2 linked regions of the Pelodiscus sinensis genome follow. The protein of the gene in region 2 purifies or fractionates together with the protein of the main gene of each other region. This does not show direct contact. Links are inferred from orthologs where the notes say so. Each region holds a gene or a part of one and is shown on either strand. Other genes may lie near its edges.

Region 1 (8,489 bases), on a different chromosome or scaffold from region 2:
TAAGTTCCCTCACCTTGTGTCTTTCTATTTAGGCTACACACTATTTGGAGCAGGCCAGGACCGTCTTACTATGTACAGAACATTTGGCCTTGATCTGCCTAGAGACCATTCTTCTACTCCCATATAGCCTGATGGAAAGGTATGTGGCAGACCTGCAGCTTCTCCTGACTGCAACAGGAACAGGAACAGAGCTCAGCATATGAAGTCCAGCCCACAATGAACACAGCAGGGCAGTCACAACAAGCCCATGAGCAGAAAGCTAGCACCATGTTATTAGCAGTAGAACTAGGCAGTTACAGCCAAAGCTCTCTGCCCTAAAAAGTTGTTTTTTAAATGCAGACCAAATCAACCAAAATAGCTCAGGAATTTTACATGCTTAGCTTGAAAAGAGATTTTCATGAGCTAAAGAGTTTGAGGGTTACTTTATGGTTATAAAGTAAAACCCCCAAAATGGTTTGGGTTGAACCGGGTTTCATTCCACACAGAATTCATTGTATTCCAGTAACAGAGTTAACTCTCACCTCTGTAATAAGCAGCGAATAGTTTGTTCAGCTCTGCCCTCACACAGTCTGACAATGTAGCCTTGTGCTATTCATCTGGAAGAGATTTTCGCACTACAGTGGCATTTGGCTTCTATATATCTTGAACCTTAACTTAATAGTCTCACTGTCTATAATATTCTATTGATCCCACTTTGTTTCTGCCTTTTCACCCAGAGAGGAAGAGGCCAAGAGATAAAAATAGAAATCAGCCCTCGTGTCGCCTGACAGTTCACACCCTTGTAAACAATTCAGTGGAATGACATCACTGCCAGCAGTCAAGTTCCAGCATGTCCAAACAAGCCCTGGCAGGTAACAAGTTTCAACTTGTTCATGCATCTAAAAGCAAACACTCACACCCATTAGAATGCAGAAGGCCCTCTCCTGAGAGATACTGAGTGCTCTTAATGTCTCCCACTGACTTAGACTTAAATCAGTGTCTAAGGCCTGCTCTATTCTAGGAACCGGGGTTCATATAACTGCATCAGTCAGGGACCTGAAAAATCCACACCCCTGGGCAGTGCTGTAAAGCAGACCTTAGTCACCATATAGACCAGTGGTCCCCAACCTTTCGTGGCTGCCGGTTGCCCAGGGGCGGGGCCGCTCACGTGCCAGGCATCTGGGGGTGGGGCCACGCATGTGCCGCGCTCCTGGGGGTGGGGCTGCCCACGCATCCTGTGCCGGCACTGCGCAGGTGCCACGCGCCGGGCCAGCACAGATATTTCGGCAGGTGCACATAAATGCCCCAGCAGGCACCATGGCTCCTGCAGGTACTGCGTTGGAGACCACTGATCTAGACAATGCTGGGTCAATGGGAGAATTCTTCCACCAGCTGGACTACAGCCTCTTTGGGAGGACCCCTCCCATCATACCTACCTAGACTGAAGTAGCTTAATATAATTTAATAATGGAGATTGCTTATCTCCTAGAACTGGAAGGGACCTTGAAAGGTCATTGAGTCCAATCCCCTGCCTTCTCAGCAGAACCAAGTACCATCCCTGATGAATTTTTGCCCCAAATCCCTAAATGGCCTCTGCAAGGATTGAGCTCACAACCCTGGGTTTAGCAGGCCAATGCTCAAACCACTGAGCTATCCTTGTAGCATTAAGTAGCTCAGCCCCTTGCAGGCATAGCAAGGCCCCAAACTGCACCACCTCACATTAGTCGGGAGTGTAGGCTGAAGCATTACGCTTAGTCAGATGACACCGGGGTGGGGTGGGGTGGGGTGGGGTGGAGTGGGGGGTTGTGGTTGAGGACTTTAAGAAGCATCAAAGTCATTTTCCTTTCCTTTCATACACTGAAGTTTTCTTGCAAGTCCTGTTACATTCTGCTAGTGGTTCCCAATTCTGCTAGTGGTTCCCAAACTTTTTGATTTTTTGAGAAACCCTCATGCCCCACTCCCCCCAAAATAGCAGCAAAACTTGGGGTGGGATTGCGGGTGGTGGTGGTTGGGTCACCTCTTGCCCCACCCTGGGATTTTCTCACACCCCCACCAGCAGGGCACACCCCTGAATTTGGGAACCCATGTAAGAGTCCTGCAGACTTGAACAAGTAGCAGATACAGTGTAAGGTTTGTGATCACCAGGGTGGTGCTTACCTAGCTGGGTTGGCAAGTGAAACAGCTTGTCACTGGCTCTGCGCACCCTGACTGCTCTAACATGAGTCATCACTCCCCTAAGCCCATTTCCCACAGGTGACTGGATACCAGTTGCAAAGGGATGGAATCAGTCACACGCCAAGCGCGGAGAGCTTGCTGCCTGGGCAAATCTCCCTGCTGCCTCATTTGCCCCACAGGCCGAGCGGTGTGCGCGAGGAGCATAGGGGGCGATTTTGCTCCAGTACTGTTTGGGATTCTTTGAGGAACACACTGTGTTCCAGCTTCACTTCGGGATCTTCCACCCCTGGAGCCTGTTCCTAGCTCAGGAACCTGCTCCTGGTGAAGCTGGGCATCTTTACCAGTCCCTTGAGTGGATCACAGCATGATCTGGTTCAAGAGGCAGCTGGAGACTATGGCAAGAGAAAGGGACAGCAGGACTTCCACAGAGACTGGCTGGAGCTCAGTGCAGCCCCCTTCCTCTCCATACACCCAAGTCAGGGAAGGAAGTCACAAGGGACAGGTTTTAAAGTTCAGCCTTCTGCGGCCATGTACTCCAGGCATTGCAGTTTCTAGGCGAGGGAGGGAGGAAGTGGCTGGGGTCACTCGGCTGGACTGTCAGGCAGCGCAGCCTAGCAGGCAGTTGGAGCACTAGGAACTAGCCGGGTAAGCAATGAGCGGGGGCGGCGCAGGCATTTCAGTGCCCCACGTCCCCCACCAGGGGGTGTTTATCGCCCAGGACACTCCAGCCCGACAGAGGCGCCGGGATGCCCGTTCTCGTTCACACCAGAGGCAGGGGCTAGAGGAGTCACTCCGGACGCAGGGGGAAGCCACCCCGTGCGCCCAGCGACCCCTCCCGGGACATGCCGATGCCACACGCTTTCCCTGCCGAGAGGAGCCCGCTTGCATCATCTGGAGCAGCCTAGGCGCGGAGCCACTGCGCGTTTACACCTTCCAGCCCACCCTTCACGGATCCGGTCCCGCCCCTGGCTGCCAGCCCCCCCGCCCTGTCACCGCGGCCTCTCCCGAGCTACCTGCGGCAACTGCCCCCGGGGCTGTGCCTCGCCGGGGGCCCGCCACTGCCGCGGGGGGGGGAGGTGCCAGCAGTCAGCCCCGCATGAGCTCGGACCGGCACCGGGATCACGGCTCCTCCTGGTTGGCTGTGCCCGGCGCTTCGGGGAAGCCCAGCCCGGGGCGCGCCTGGCAGTGACTCCGGAGCCCTCGCAGCAGGGCCGGGCTCTTACCTCATAGCAAGTGTGACTAACGCCCCCCCCCCCCCCCCCCGCGGGGCATGCCCGGGCACCGCCCGCCCTGCCGGCCGCAGCGCCCCGCTCGGAGCCCCGACGCGCCCCAGCGCTCCCTGCAGACCCCAGCGGCGTTGCCTCGCCAGCGCTGGCCCTGCTCGTGCCGGCGGGGGGCGCCCCAGTCCCAGCCCTCGGGGCGGCGGCAGCCCAAACCCTGCAATAGGTTCCCGGCGCCGGATCAGGGTAGCGCCGGGATCTTCGCTCTCGCAGCCCCCGAGCGGGGGGGCCGGTCCCGGCAGGCTCCCCAGCCAGCGAAACCGAGAGCGCCAGAGCAGAGGGACTGGGAGAAATCCCCGGCCGCGCCCCGGGAAGTGCCGGGTGACCCCTCGGAGAGGGGCCGCGCTTAGCCTCAAGCGCCCCAGGGTGGGATCCCCGTTACGTGTCGGGAAGGGGGTGAGAGCGGTACCCCGCTCCGGTGTCTGGGGGCCAAAGAGCTGGAAAGACCCCTCCGCTCAACGGCGCGCCCCGGAAGAGCGAGGGTCGCTGATGGTGCGCGGAGCAGCCTTGCGGCGGGGAAGGGGACGGATTAACGGGGACAAAGACAGGATCCCCCCTGCCCTCTCACCTCGCCGGATTAACGGGGACAAAGACAGGATCCCCCCGCCCCCTCACCTCGCCGGATTAACGGGGACAAAGACAGGATCCCCCCGCCCCCTCACCTCGCCGGATTAACGGGGACAAAGACAGGATCCCCCCGCCCCCTCACCTCGCCGGATTAACGGGGACAAAGACAGGATCCCCCCCGCCCTCTCACCTCGCCGGATTAACGGGGACAAAGACAGGATCCCCCCTGCCCTCTCACCTCGCCGGATTAACGGGGACAAAGACAGGATCCCCCCGCCCTCTCACCTCGCCGGATTAACGGGGACAAAGACAGGATCCCCCCCGCCCCCTCACCTCGCCGGATTAACGGGGACAAAGACAGGATCCCCCCCGCCCTCTCACCTCGCCGGATTAACGGGGACAAAGACAGGATCCCCCCTGCCCTCTCACCTCGCCGGATTAACGGGGACAAAGACAGGATCCCCCCCGCCCTCTCACCTGGCCGGATTAACGGGGACAAAGACAGGATCCCCCCCGCCCTCTCACCTCGCCGCAGTCTCCCCGCCCTGCGCCTCTCCAAGCCGCTGCGCTCTACGCGCTGCGCCCTGCCAGCCTCCAGATAAGCAGGCACAGGGCTCCTCCCCCGTCCTCCCCACCTGCTCGCACAGCTGATTTCCCCCGCCCCCCGCAGCCAGTCCCAGGCGCTGCGACCAGCTCGGTAGCCCGGACTGGGGGCTCTGGTGATATGTGGCAGCCTGCGCTGCTGGGGGCTGAGCTAACCCCACGGCCCGGCCGCTGAGTACCACAGCTTGGATCAGCTGCCAGGAGGCGCCAGTGCAGCCGCTGCACTAGCTGAGAATCTCGGTCCCACGGCCAGCTCCCGGAACCAGCCAGTGTATCTGCGCCCCGACCCTTCCAGTCACCAGGATCGAAGTGGCTGCGGAGGAGCAGGTGAGGTCTCTCCTAATGTTACCGGCTTGGCACATCTGGCTAGAGGGTGGCTAGCCCGGTCCTGGATGAACTGTTAATGTTCAGATCTAGGCTTCATAGCTCACTGGTAGGAACTTCAGGGCATTTGCTCCTAGCTACTAGTATTGCCAGGGCCCTCCTTAGGGTTCATGGGGCCCTACGGTGTAATTACACTGGTGCCCCGGTGCCCCACGGGGTGAGTCTTTTATAATATTCAGCTACACACTAATGAAATATGATAAAGCAAATTTTAAACCCAGGTCCTGTGTACATTAGTGCTCAGTGCATTCAGAAACTGACAGTAGACCTGGGGTTGGCATATGCCTGGGACATGGCTTCATTTCCACCAGAATGGCTCTTGCACAGGATCAGTGTTCTGCTAATGGGACTGGCAGGCTTTGTCACTTGTCAGTTAACTAGATCCTCTGCTGAGGAAGCAGAGCCACAGAAGGGAATAGGAAGAGGTGGGTGAATGGACATTAAGATCCAGTGGTGCCCCAAATTTTTGGGTCCCCTATGCCAGTGTTTCTCAACAAGTGGTATGGGTACTTGAGAGAAGTCTGGGGGGTACTTCAACACAACTGAAATGTGGAGAACACTGAATTTTTGTTTTTTTACAGCGCTTTGTTTTTGTACTTTTTACACCCAAAAATTTTGTCTGCCCAGCTACAATGAAGTTGTTTAAACAAATGCGTTGCAATGGTAGAATAAAATTGTGTGTCTGAAAACTGTGGGTCCTGGGGTACTTTAATAAAAAAGGTTGAGAAACACTGCCCTACAATGCTGCGTATTCTGGGTATGGGTAAGGACAGCTGGGAGCACTGCCCTCTGACTTCCCAGGGGCTCCCGTGCTGCAAGATTTTGGTTTGGCTCAAGGCAGTCGAAAACTAACTCTCTCAATAGGGTTTCCATACCAGAGCAGACCCAATTCATTCCGTCCCGAGCTTCTGTAGCAGCTACCGTATCTGCTGCTTCAGAGCAAAACCAAAACACAACGACCTCCCCATGGCCCACAAGGGAATACAGGCAGCTAACTCACATGGCAGTGAATGGAAATTAAGCTCTTTAGTGCCCTGAGAAGATCAGAGCCTGCGCTCCTAAACAGTTACATAATTGTTGCATATAAGAGAGGAAAGACGGAGGGAGAAAGATTCCTTCCTGATCTCTTCTGTGACCAGTTTATATCCTGAAGTGTAAGATCTGCCTTCCCCTTATCTCAGGACTTGTCTGTACTGGGGTCACCGCATCACTGCAAACCTGTATAAAAGCAAGGCTAACTAACTCACTAGGGCAGGCGTGTCCAAAGTCCGGCCCGCGGGCCAATTGCGGCCCGTGTTCCGGTTTAATTTGGCAATATCCCCAGGTAATTTGGCAATATCTATCTTTTATGGCCCCCAACGAATCCATATGTATTGAGATGAATACATTGTAAAATCTCAGTTAATGTCAGTTGGTCTAAATCAGTTATAAATATATTTGGACACAATGTGTATACTTGGTGTTATGTTCCTGTTCATATTTTTTGAACTTAAAAGTTGACAGACAACCTTTATTACCAATAATATGTAATGTACTTTACAATGTTCCTGACATATATTTCAGCTTCCTGGATTTTTTTTTCATCTGGCCTTCAGATATGAAAGGCAGAGTGATTTAACACCTGTTTAGATTTGTCATCCATGTGACGAAATGAAAAGTATGCCGTGTGCAATAAACTTTGCATAAAATAGTTAATTTGCGTTTAATTTTAATGGTTCAAAGAATGTCAGGCAAAATGGTCGGCCCTCACGCATGTTCACTTCATCAAATCTGGCCCTCGTTGAAAAAAGTTTGGACACCCCTGCTCTAGGGCAACGAAGTTTTACACCCAAGCCCTGTCTGCATTGGTGGCTTGCCATGGTACAGCTCCAGCTGAGGCTGGGTGTGTTTCACATCTATTTGGGAGGCTCTTTTGGATCAGAAATATACGTGCTAAATAAAGCATCTAATCTTCTGTTTCCAGGGTGCTTGCTGAACGTTCAGCACCTCCGATTGTTGCTGTTTTGGATTTAACCCCTTCCACAATGCAGAGTGGCACATTTCAGGCTGGCCTGCTCTCTCAGATAATATGTCTGGGCATGTTCTGTTGGAGACTGTCTCATGACCAAGGCAGAGCTTTTCTCTGCAAGTCCCCTTATAACACAGGATGCAGACACATCCCAGGAGTATGAAATCAGCTAACAGATATAATCCTAGGGCACAGAGATAGGCCCTGGGAAGCTGGGATCAGGAGTGAACTTCCCGAAGTTCAGGGGGATAGTTAAACACAGGATTTTAGATTGATGTGAGCTTTGATGTAGCAGTGACTAACGTATCCATGAACAAACCCATCTACCTCACACGCTCTTATCAATCTGCCCAACTCTAATTTTTGAATTCATGTGTTTTAATTCATTTTGAAAGCAAAGGCAAATGTACCTTGTGTTTCGCCAGCCACAAAATTCAGAGAGTTGTGTAAGCCAGAACAAGGGACTTCACTTTAGATTGAGGACAGCAGCAACCAAGAGTAAGAACAACAGTAAAGTCTTCACCATTAGAGAGCACAGTGTGTCTTTTCTGATTACCATTAGAAATATTGGAAAACTTCAGAGGGGGAGCCGAGTTAGTCTGTAACAGGAAAAACTTAAAAAACAACAAATAGTCTAGTAGCACCTTAAAGTCTAACAAAACATGGAGATGGGCTGAAGAAGTGGGTTGCACCCACAAAAGTTCATGATACCAGCTACATGTTTTGTTAGTCTTTAAGGTGCTGCTAGACTTTTTGTTGTTTTTTAAGTTATATTGGACTATGAGAACAAAATGGCTGCCAACTCAGCATGCAAGGAGTGGATTTAGAAACAGAAAGGTCTGTTACACAGAGAACAAAAGCATTATGGTTCCATAGCCAAGTGACACTTGTCACTGTGTGACTGGCCCTTTTAAGCAGGCGGAGGTCCAGTGCCTGTGACCTGCTGCTCAGCTGGGCTTAAGGGAAGATATCTGGACCTTATAAAGGGGGAAGCTGTGATAAAGACTTGAGAGGTTTTTGTAGTTGCAGAAGGTTATAAAAGTGTTTGAGGCACCAGGAGAAACAAGATTCTAGTAAGGTAGAGCAGGAAGTGGCCTGTTAAAAGCAGAAAATTGAGTTAGACTCTGTGGACTTTATTTTGGAACACTGGGTTCTGTTTATATTAATAACAACCTTAGGGAGGGGTATTTGCAGGAGAGAAGCCTGTTTGTGAAGGTGAAAGAGTCCTAAAAGAAGGGAAACTGAGGTAAAGGGCTAAAGAGCTTCATCTGTCCAAGAAGGGGGCTTGGAAGGTGGCTGATGCCGCTATATTCTTGTAAATGAAGAACGGCATCCACAAAGGGAGTGGGGGATTAAAGAAAACCTTGCTATTTAGTTTAAAAGGAACATAGTTAAAGAGAAAGGACCAGTCGAACATGGTGAACTTTTAAATGGGTATCAGGTGAAAGAAAAGACTTCTGCACAAAATGGCATGGGATGATTGAGTTGGGGTT
Region 2 (8,054 bases):
GCAGTCATGTACATAGTCTCTGGAAGCAGTCTGAATTTCATCTGAACCTGTATAAGCCAGTCAATTAGTATAGCTCGCATATTTCCAGTAACTTCCTGTCCTGCCAGGTATTTTGGTCTGACAGCTTGTTGCTTCTGCACGGAAGAAGAGTATGCATTACTACAGCAATTCCTGCATATAGGGAAGCACTGGCACCATCTTCTTGGCCAACAAAGAGACAGAATCTAGCTTCTTTGGCCAAGAGATATTTGAAGGCAATAGTATAAGGCAGTTGTTAGCTATATTACCTTGGAGTAATAATGCCAGTGCTGGTAGTTTAAGCCAACTAGTTTTGCTTATCACTTACATTTTGAGTCTGTTAGAAAATGTATGCAGTTTATGTATAGCCTGTTGGTCAGAGGCTATTGAGAAACACGGTCTGATAAATGGAACTTGGTGGGAGAAGGAATCTGAGAGAAACCAGAACTATGTGGCTCAAAAACTTCTCACCAAACAGAAGTTGGTCCAATAAGCCTATCTTACCCTTCATTCTCCTAGCTGGTTGCTGGATTAAGGGAAAGATTTACTGCAAGGAATAAGACTCCTTGCACCTTAGGGATACCCAAAGGTCTAGAAAGAGAGGTCCAGTTTCTCAAGTAGCAATTGCACCAGAGAGGTGGTAACAGTCAGGGTAAAGTAGAATGACAGAAGATATGGTTCTTGTTTATACCAACCTCAAGATCTCTCAGATAGCTATAGATGTCCTTTACATATTCACTGCAGAGATTTGGGTCAGCACCATCATCTGCATCTACATCTCTCACTTCAAGCAAGACATCAGAAAAAGCCTGGCACAACATCTCCTCTGCTGGCACACATCCAGAGGTCTCCATTGGGCTTGGGGATGGAGATTCCAACTGGGGACAAAGTTTAAAATGGAGTACCCATAACTGCTACTGAAGACAACACTTCAGAAGAGAGGTCTCTGAAAGTTAGGCCATTAAGATTTGTAGATCAGGTCTATAGCAATCAGACTGACAATACTACAATGTTACTAAAGCCATGACAAACTACATCAGACCTCCACAGATGTATCACAATGATACAAGGGTGCAATAGAGTAACAGTATAGAAACTTAGTATGTAAGCTAGTTATATCACCCCCCAACAGAACTGAGTTCAAAAGATAGGACTACACAAACTTGATACAAGTAGTAAATCACAGCATCCCCAATGCCAGGTTTGGCCAAGACTGTTTCATAAGTCAGTGTTTGTAATGTCACAAGATATCCTATGTTGCAGGATGGGAGTGCTTGTTTTTAGTAGGAGCCATTTGAGATGGATGTCTACTAAGGGATGGTATCCTATAGACTACCTTTAGGTAACCAGGATTTCAAGTCCCAGGCTAAGAACATAGCCTAATAGCCATATGTGTACATCAGTAGCCCCTCTAGACCAGCATCCAGTCTAATAAAAGCCCATGCCAGATTCATTACCACCACACGGCAATTATCCTCACCTATTGACTACTCCCAGGTTTTGGCAGGTTCCACCAGACTTCTGCATGTTCTTAGGCATTCTGCCTCAGTCCCTCCCTCCCATCTCATCTGTAAAGTGAGATTTTACTGCTCTACCTCATTGGCAGGAGCACACCGAAAATCTGAGACAAAGACTGTTCTATACTAAAGTTTCACACAGTTGGCTTGTATATGAAGATTAGAGATGTATAATGTAGCTGCATAACTGTCAATTTTTCTATACACAAGCCAACTATGTAGTTAGACTACTATTTAAGTTACCAGCACCTTAAAGACTAACAAAACAGGTAGTTAAGTTACCTAAACACAGCATTACACTAGCTACAGAGTAGAATCTTGTATTGACCTAGCTATACATTCAGGAGGGTGTATTGCCTGCACTGGCAGAAGAGCCCTCTCAATGGGAGGAGGTGTACACTGAAGCACTTCAAGTGCAGCTGTAGCCTTTCAAATGCTACTGTGGAGTCGCTAAATAATCCATTCACAGACTGCTAGGGAGTTCACCAATGCTCCAGGGAAGAGGGCAAAGCCTGCAGGGTCAGTGATGGGAGAAACAGGCTCAACAGGGAGGCGCTAAGCCAGGCAGGAATCGGTGAGGTCAGGGTTGGTTTGGAGCGTGAAGAAGCGTGTCCCTCTTCCAGGCTTGCTAGGATCCCTGCTGGTTGTGGTTAGCTCAGAGCAGGGGCTGGATGCCGGCTGGCACTGCACTAATACCTTAGCAGGCTCCGGCACTGGGTTCTGCTCCTTAACCGGCTCGTTCACCTTCTCCGCGGCTCTCGTGGTTTTCTTGGCCAGGGGCTTCACGGCGGCGACGGGCAGTTTCGCTTCCTAGAGAGAAGAGGGGGCCGTGAGCGTCCCAGGCTCGGGCTTCTCGGGGCTTCGGCGGGATAGGCTCTGGCCTTACCTTTTTAGGAGGCGCTTTGGGCGGCTGCTTGCACACTTTGTTACCGATGTCGCCCAGGGCGGTTCTCGGCCTGAGGCCGGGCTTGGCAGCAGCCGCTTCCCGCTTGACGGCGGCCACATTGCTCTTCACTTGGTTCTCGGCGTGGACTCTGGTGTTCTGCGGAGAAGAGCGCCCCGTCAGCGCGGCAGCCCTGCCGGGAAGGGGACGCCGGGCACCCCCAAACCCTAGCCTCCTAGACCAGGCTCTGCTCAGGGCGGAGCTGCGGCGAGCCCGTTAGCCGGCCTTACCCGAGCCCCTGCACTAGCGTCCCGCAGCCCGGCGAGCAAGCTGGGGACGGAGCCGCTCTTAGCCCCAGGCCCGAGACACGGAGCAACAGCCGCAGCCAGACTGAGCACACGTAGACCCCGCTAATAAGGTCACTCCCCCACCCGCCCGCAGAAGAAATGGCTGCAGCCCGCCCGCGAAGGAAACCCGCCGGGGCTCCACAGGGTGACCCCTTCCTCCCGCCACTTACCCTGCTGACCCGCAGCGCCATGGCCCCTCCTGCACCACAAAGCCCTGAACTCCGGCTGCGCCGCTGCACCTTCAGCTGCCGGGCCTAGTGCGTGCGACTCCTGTCCCCACAGCTGCCCGGCTCAGAACACGAATGCACAACTCCCCAGCAGCCCTTGCCTGCAGGTTTAAACCACGCACCAAACTCCGCTCATTGGCTGCCCCCTCGTCTTCCCTCGATTCTCATTGGCCGCTCGCTGTTCCACCCCGAATGCGTTTCCGTGGAGACAGGGTGCTGATTCCTCTAGACGTTCGAAAAGGGGGCGGTGATTGTTTGTAGCAGGTGACGGCGTGATGCCTTTATGATTTAATCTCTGACGCTTGGCTGGGGACAGAGTTGGGGTGGGCAATGGAGTGTAGCTAAAAGAGTCTCAGGCTACCAGTATTTCAATAGTCGTGTACTGTGGCCATTCATCTCATCCCCTTAACAAGGAATCCCATGCAAGTTCTGCTTTGGGGAAACAATTAATTTAATATTCTGCATGGGGTCTATCCAGCTTTGTTTCTTGATAGTGCTGGTTCTCTAGGGGTTAGTCACTACCACTGGAACTTCACTATACTTTACGGTTCAGTAGTCACCCTCAGTCTAGATAAGGCATTAAATATTTAACTCTCTGTGCCTGAATTAATGTTTTTAATAAGATGGAATCTCAGCCTTATTGATATGTTGGGTGAAACAGGTAAACTGGGGAAAAGATGTATAGGGGAGAGCCTGGGGTATTTATGTCTGCTGGAGCAGAAATCCAGGACTGAAGGGGGAGATGGTTATGTGGACTGCAAGTGGGATAGGGAGCAGGCCAGTCCACTCTTTTTCATAGGGCTGTGGTAAAGTATGCCTTGTACAAAGTATGCCTTGTGAGGTATCATTTGAAAACATATAATTTGCTTATCTATATTGTTCTGGTAAAATGTGCATGCAAACATTGTATGTAAAGTTATAAGATGTTCTTTTATGATGTTACTAAGACATATTCCAATTTTGTCACACACCCGTTCTCCAGAGACAAAATCATGACTTCTTTGTACCCAGAGTCATGCGGAGAAGAGCTCTGGTAAATATTTTCAAGCCCACTTGATCCTCAGTATCTCAGGAGGCAAATGTCCTGAGCCCTAGCATACCCTGCTGGGCTGAAACATGAGTCTGGTGCCTCCAGTAGTACAGAAGCCATGAGCCCCAGTGCACTCCAGACTGATGACCTCTGCAAGACCAAAGCCCTGACATTTCACCCCAGGGCTGAAGCCCTGAGACTAAAGACTCACACAGGGCTAAAGCCCTAAGCCCCGGCACTTCCCACTGCTGAAGCACACCCCTGAATGGGATGTGAGGGTTCTGGGAAATAAACTCTGAGAATTAAAGCCCTAGAAAAAAGTCTAGCTAATGCCTCAGCCACGTGTCCACAAGATCAAATGGATCATTACCTGCATAAGTGGCCATTCTATGGAAAGAAAAGGGTGTAGACAAAAAATCTACATATTGAGAATTGACCATACAGACTTTGTCTCCTGGACGTTAGCTGGGGATGATTCATATAGAAGAGAAGGAACTGTAACAGTGGGTAATGAACCCATTTTAATGGGGTCACCAGGGCTGACTGAGACTTGCTGGGACTCGGGTAAAGCTGAAGTTGAGTGTGTCAGCTCTGGACAGCAGAGCTCAATTTCAGGCTCCCTGCTTGAGGCTGAATCCTGTGAGGCTCAGGCTTTGGCCCACCCCATCTGGAGCAGTAGGCTTTGGGTAGACTAAGGCTACAGCCCCTCCTCCATTTGCTGTATAGTAATTTTTGATGTCAGAGGGGGGCTGCAGTGCAATGAAGTTCGAGAATCCCTGAACTATAAGAAAGGAGAGAAATGTCTTTCAAGTCATCTCTATGCAGGGCATTGGTAACGTGATTAACAAAAGCAGCATTGGGGCAAGAGGGTGATCCTGAGATTGCACAAGTAATAGTGTGGTGAGAGCATTTTGCTTGGACTTCACTCTTTATCTTGTTCAGTTAGACATTACTGTAATTGCATTTTACTTTTATCATAACCAACTATGACTTTTATGCATCATTACCTGTGGTCACTTCAAAGTATATTTAGATTGAAGTGTCGGGAAAATCCTTTGACGTAGGAAGATTTGTGCATATCATGTACTAGTAATAAAATGGCGGTTTTTATGTGAGTTTATACTGTCCAGGGGAGGGTTTGGCAATTCAAGACATACACTTCTGAAAGTTTGGTGGTGGAATTTCCTGGTGTTGCTCTTCATGAATAGTTGGCCATAACATTCATGTATGGAGTAACTTACATGTCCAATGGCTTGCTGCTAAGATTTGGTCAGTTTACAGTTACCTCAATTGCCAATACTAGAATTCAAACTTGATCACAGTATGTGAAGATGGCCCCGAGCACTTTGTTTGAGAGACTTGTTCAAATGTTAAACTGCATGATAGCTGTGATCACATAAGGCTACTAGTTTCCTAGCTGGTCAGAGCCTTCCAGAAAACCCAGTAGACAACACAAACCAACCAACCAACCAGGAAAAATTCCTCTTTGGTTAGGATCTACACGTTTCTAGTTTTCTTTCTAATTCAAATACAATATTATCAATTTGGTTCACATACTGTCAGGAGATAATCCTGATTGCACTTCAAGGGTTATCTTGGTTCTGATTAAAGTTGCAAACACATCATAGAGTCATAGAATACTAGGACTGGCAGGGACCTCGAGAAGTCACCGAGTCCAGTCCCCTGCCCTCATGGCAGGACCAAATACTGTCTAGACCATCCCTGATAGACATTTATCTAACCTACTCTTAAATATCTCCAGAGATGGAGATTCCACAACCTCCCTGGGCAATTTATTCCAGTGTTTGACTACCCTGACAGTTAGGAACTTTTTCCTAATGTCCAACCTAAACCTCCCTTGCTGCAGTTTAAGCCCATTGCTTCTTGTTCTATCCTCAGAGGCCAAGATGAACAAATTTTCTCCCTCCTCCTTATGACACCCTTTGATACTTGAAAACGGCTATCCTGTCCCCCTCCCCTCAGTCTTCTCTTTTCTAAACTAAACAAACACGTTTATTTCAGCCTTCCTTCATAGATCGTGTTCTCTAGACCTTTAATCATTCTTGTTGCTCTTCTCTGGACCCTCTCCAATTTCTCCACATCTTTCTTGAAATGTGGTGCCCAGAACTGGACACAATACTCCAACTGAGGCCTAACCAGCGCAAAGTAGAGCGGAAGAATGACTTCTCGTGTCTTGCTTACAACACACCTGTTAATGCATCCCAGAATCATGTTTGCGTTTTTTGCAACAGCATCACGCTGCTGACTCATATTCAGCTTGTGGTCCACTATAACCCCTAGATCCCTTTCTGCCGTACTCCTTCCTACACAGTCGCTTCCCATTCTGTAGGTGTGAAACTGATTGTTCCTTCCTAAGTGGAGCGCTTTGCATTTGTCTTTATTAAACTTCAGCCTGTTTACCTCAGACCATTTCTCCAATTTGTCCAGATCATTTTGAATTATGACCCTATCCTCCAGAGCAGTTGCAACCTCTCCCAGCCTCGTATCATCTGCAACTTAATAAGCGTCCTTTTTATGCCAATATCTAAATCGTTGAAGATATTGAACAGAGCTGGTCCCAAAACAGACCCCTGCGGAACCCCACTTGTTATACCTTTCCAGCAGGATGGTGAACCATTAATGACTACTCTCCGAGTACGGTTATCCAGCCAGTTATTCACCCACCTTATAGTAGCCCCATCTAAGTTGTATTTGCCCAGTTCATTGATAAGAATATCATGCAAGACCATATCAAATGCCTTATTAAAGTCTAGGTATACCACATCCATCGCTTCTCATCTACAAGACTTGTTATGCTATCAAAGAAAGCTATCAGATTGGTTTGACATTTTTTCTTTACAAATCCATGCTGGCTGTTACCCATCACCTTGCCACCTTCCAAGCGTTTACAGATGACTTCCTTAATTACTTGCTCCATTATCTTCCCTGGCACAGAAGTTAAACTAACTGATCTGTAGTTTCCTGGGTTGTTCTTAATTCACTTTTTATACATGGGCACTATATTTGCCCTTTTCCAGTCTTCTGGAATCTCTCTTGTCTCCCATGATTTTCCAAAGATGATAGCTAGAGGCTCAGATACCTCCTCTATCAGCTCCTTGAGTATTCTAGGATGCATTACATCAGGTCCTGGTGACTTGCCGGCATCTAACTTTTCTAGGTGATTTTTAACTTGTTTTTTTTTTAATTTTATCTTCTAAACCTACCCCCGTCCCACTAGCATTCACTATGTTAGGCATTCCTTCAGACTTCTCGGTGAAGACCGAAACAAAGAAGTCATTAAGCATCTCTGCCATTTCCAAGTTTCCTGTTATTGTTTCTCCCTCCTCACTGACCAGTGGGCCTACCCTGTCCTTGGCCTTCCTCTTGCTTCTAATGTATTTATAAAAAGTCTTCTTGTTTCCCTTTATTCCCGTAGCTAGTTTGAGCTTATTTTGTGCCTTTGTCTTTCTAATCTTGCCCCTGTATTCCTGTGTTGTTTGCCTATATTCATCCTTTGTAATTTGTCCTACTTTCCATTTTTGGTTAAGCCAAGGCGGTCTTTTGCCGTATTTTCAATCTTTCTGACGTAGCAGAATAGCTTGCTTTTGGGCCTGTAATAATGTCCCTTTGAAAAACTGCCAACTCTCCTCAGTTGTTTTTCCCCTCAGTCTTGATTCCCATGGGACCTTACCTATCAGCTCTCTGAGTTTACCAAAATCCACTCAGATATATATACATATAAATACAACATATACACGTGTAAGATTACCGGAATAAGGAAATGCCATTTTTACATTCTTTCGGCCACAGCTACTTTTTGAACGATCAGTCCAGTAACTGCAGAAATTATTCTAATTCAGCACTATTGGAAATGAAGGAAATGGTACAGAATAGGAATATCAACATGTAGATGACTACAGGATTAACCGATAAACCTAGTCTTATCCATTCATCTTGTTGACTACATTCATTCTCTCCTTCCTTGCTGCTTCTGTATCAGGGACAACAAGGGTGGGGGATAAGGTAGGAGCT

The links.
Region 1: the proteins of CCNB1 (region 2) and CDKN1A purify together in Homo sapiens (affinity purification with western blotting; 8 studies listed by BioGRID and IntAct, with this or other methods). This does not show direct contact. The link is inferred for Pelodiscus sinensis from reciprocal best matches to the Homo sapiens genes CCNB1 and CDKN1A.

Annotation. Positions count from the first base shown.
Region 1 is NC_134737.1:17,145,298-17,153,786, forward strand, and holds the start of CDKN1A (cyclin-dependent kinase inhibitor 1), read right to left. Parts: upstream 3,374-8,489; 5' UTR 3,168-3,373; intron 880-3,167; exon of another isoform or gene 33-879; intron 1-32. UniProt on the Homo sapiens protein: Plays an important role in controlling cell cycle progression and DNA damage-induced G2 arrest. Involved in p53/TP53 mediated inhibition of cellular proliferation in response to DNA damage.
Region 2 is NC_134716.1:88,052,181-88,060,234, forward strand, and holds the start of CCNB1 (G2/mitotic-specific cyclin-B1), read right to left. Parts: upstream 3,096-8,054; 5' UTR 2,957-3,095; coding exon 2,936-2,956; intron 2,578-2,935; coding exon 2,422-2,577; intron 2,346-2,421; coding exon 2,232-2,345; intron 897-2,231; coding exon 714-896; intron 135-713; coding exon 1-134. UniProt on the Homo sapiens protein: Essential for the control of the cell cycle at the G2/M (mitosis) transition.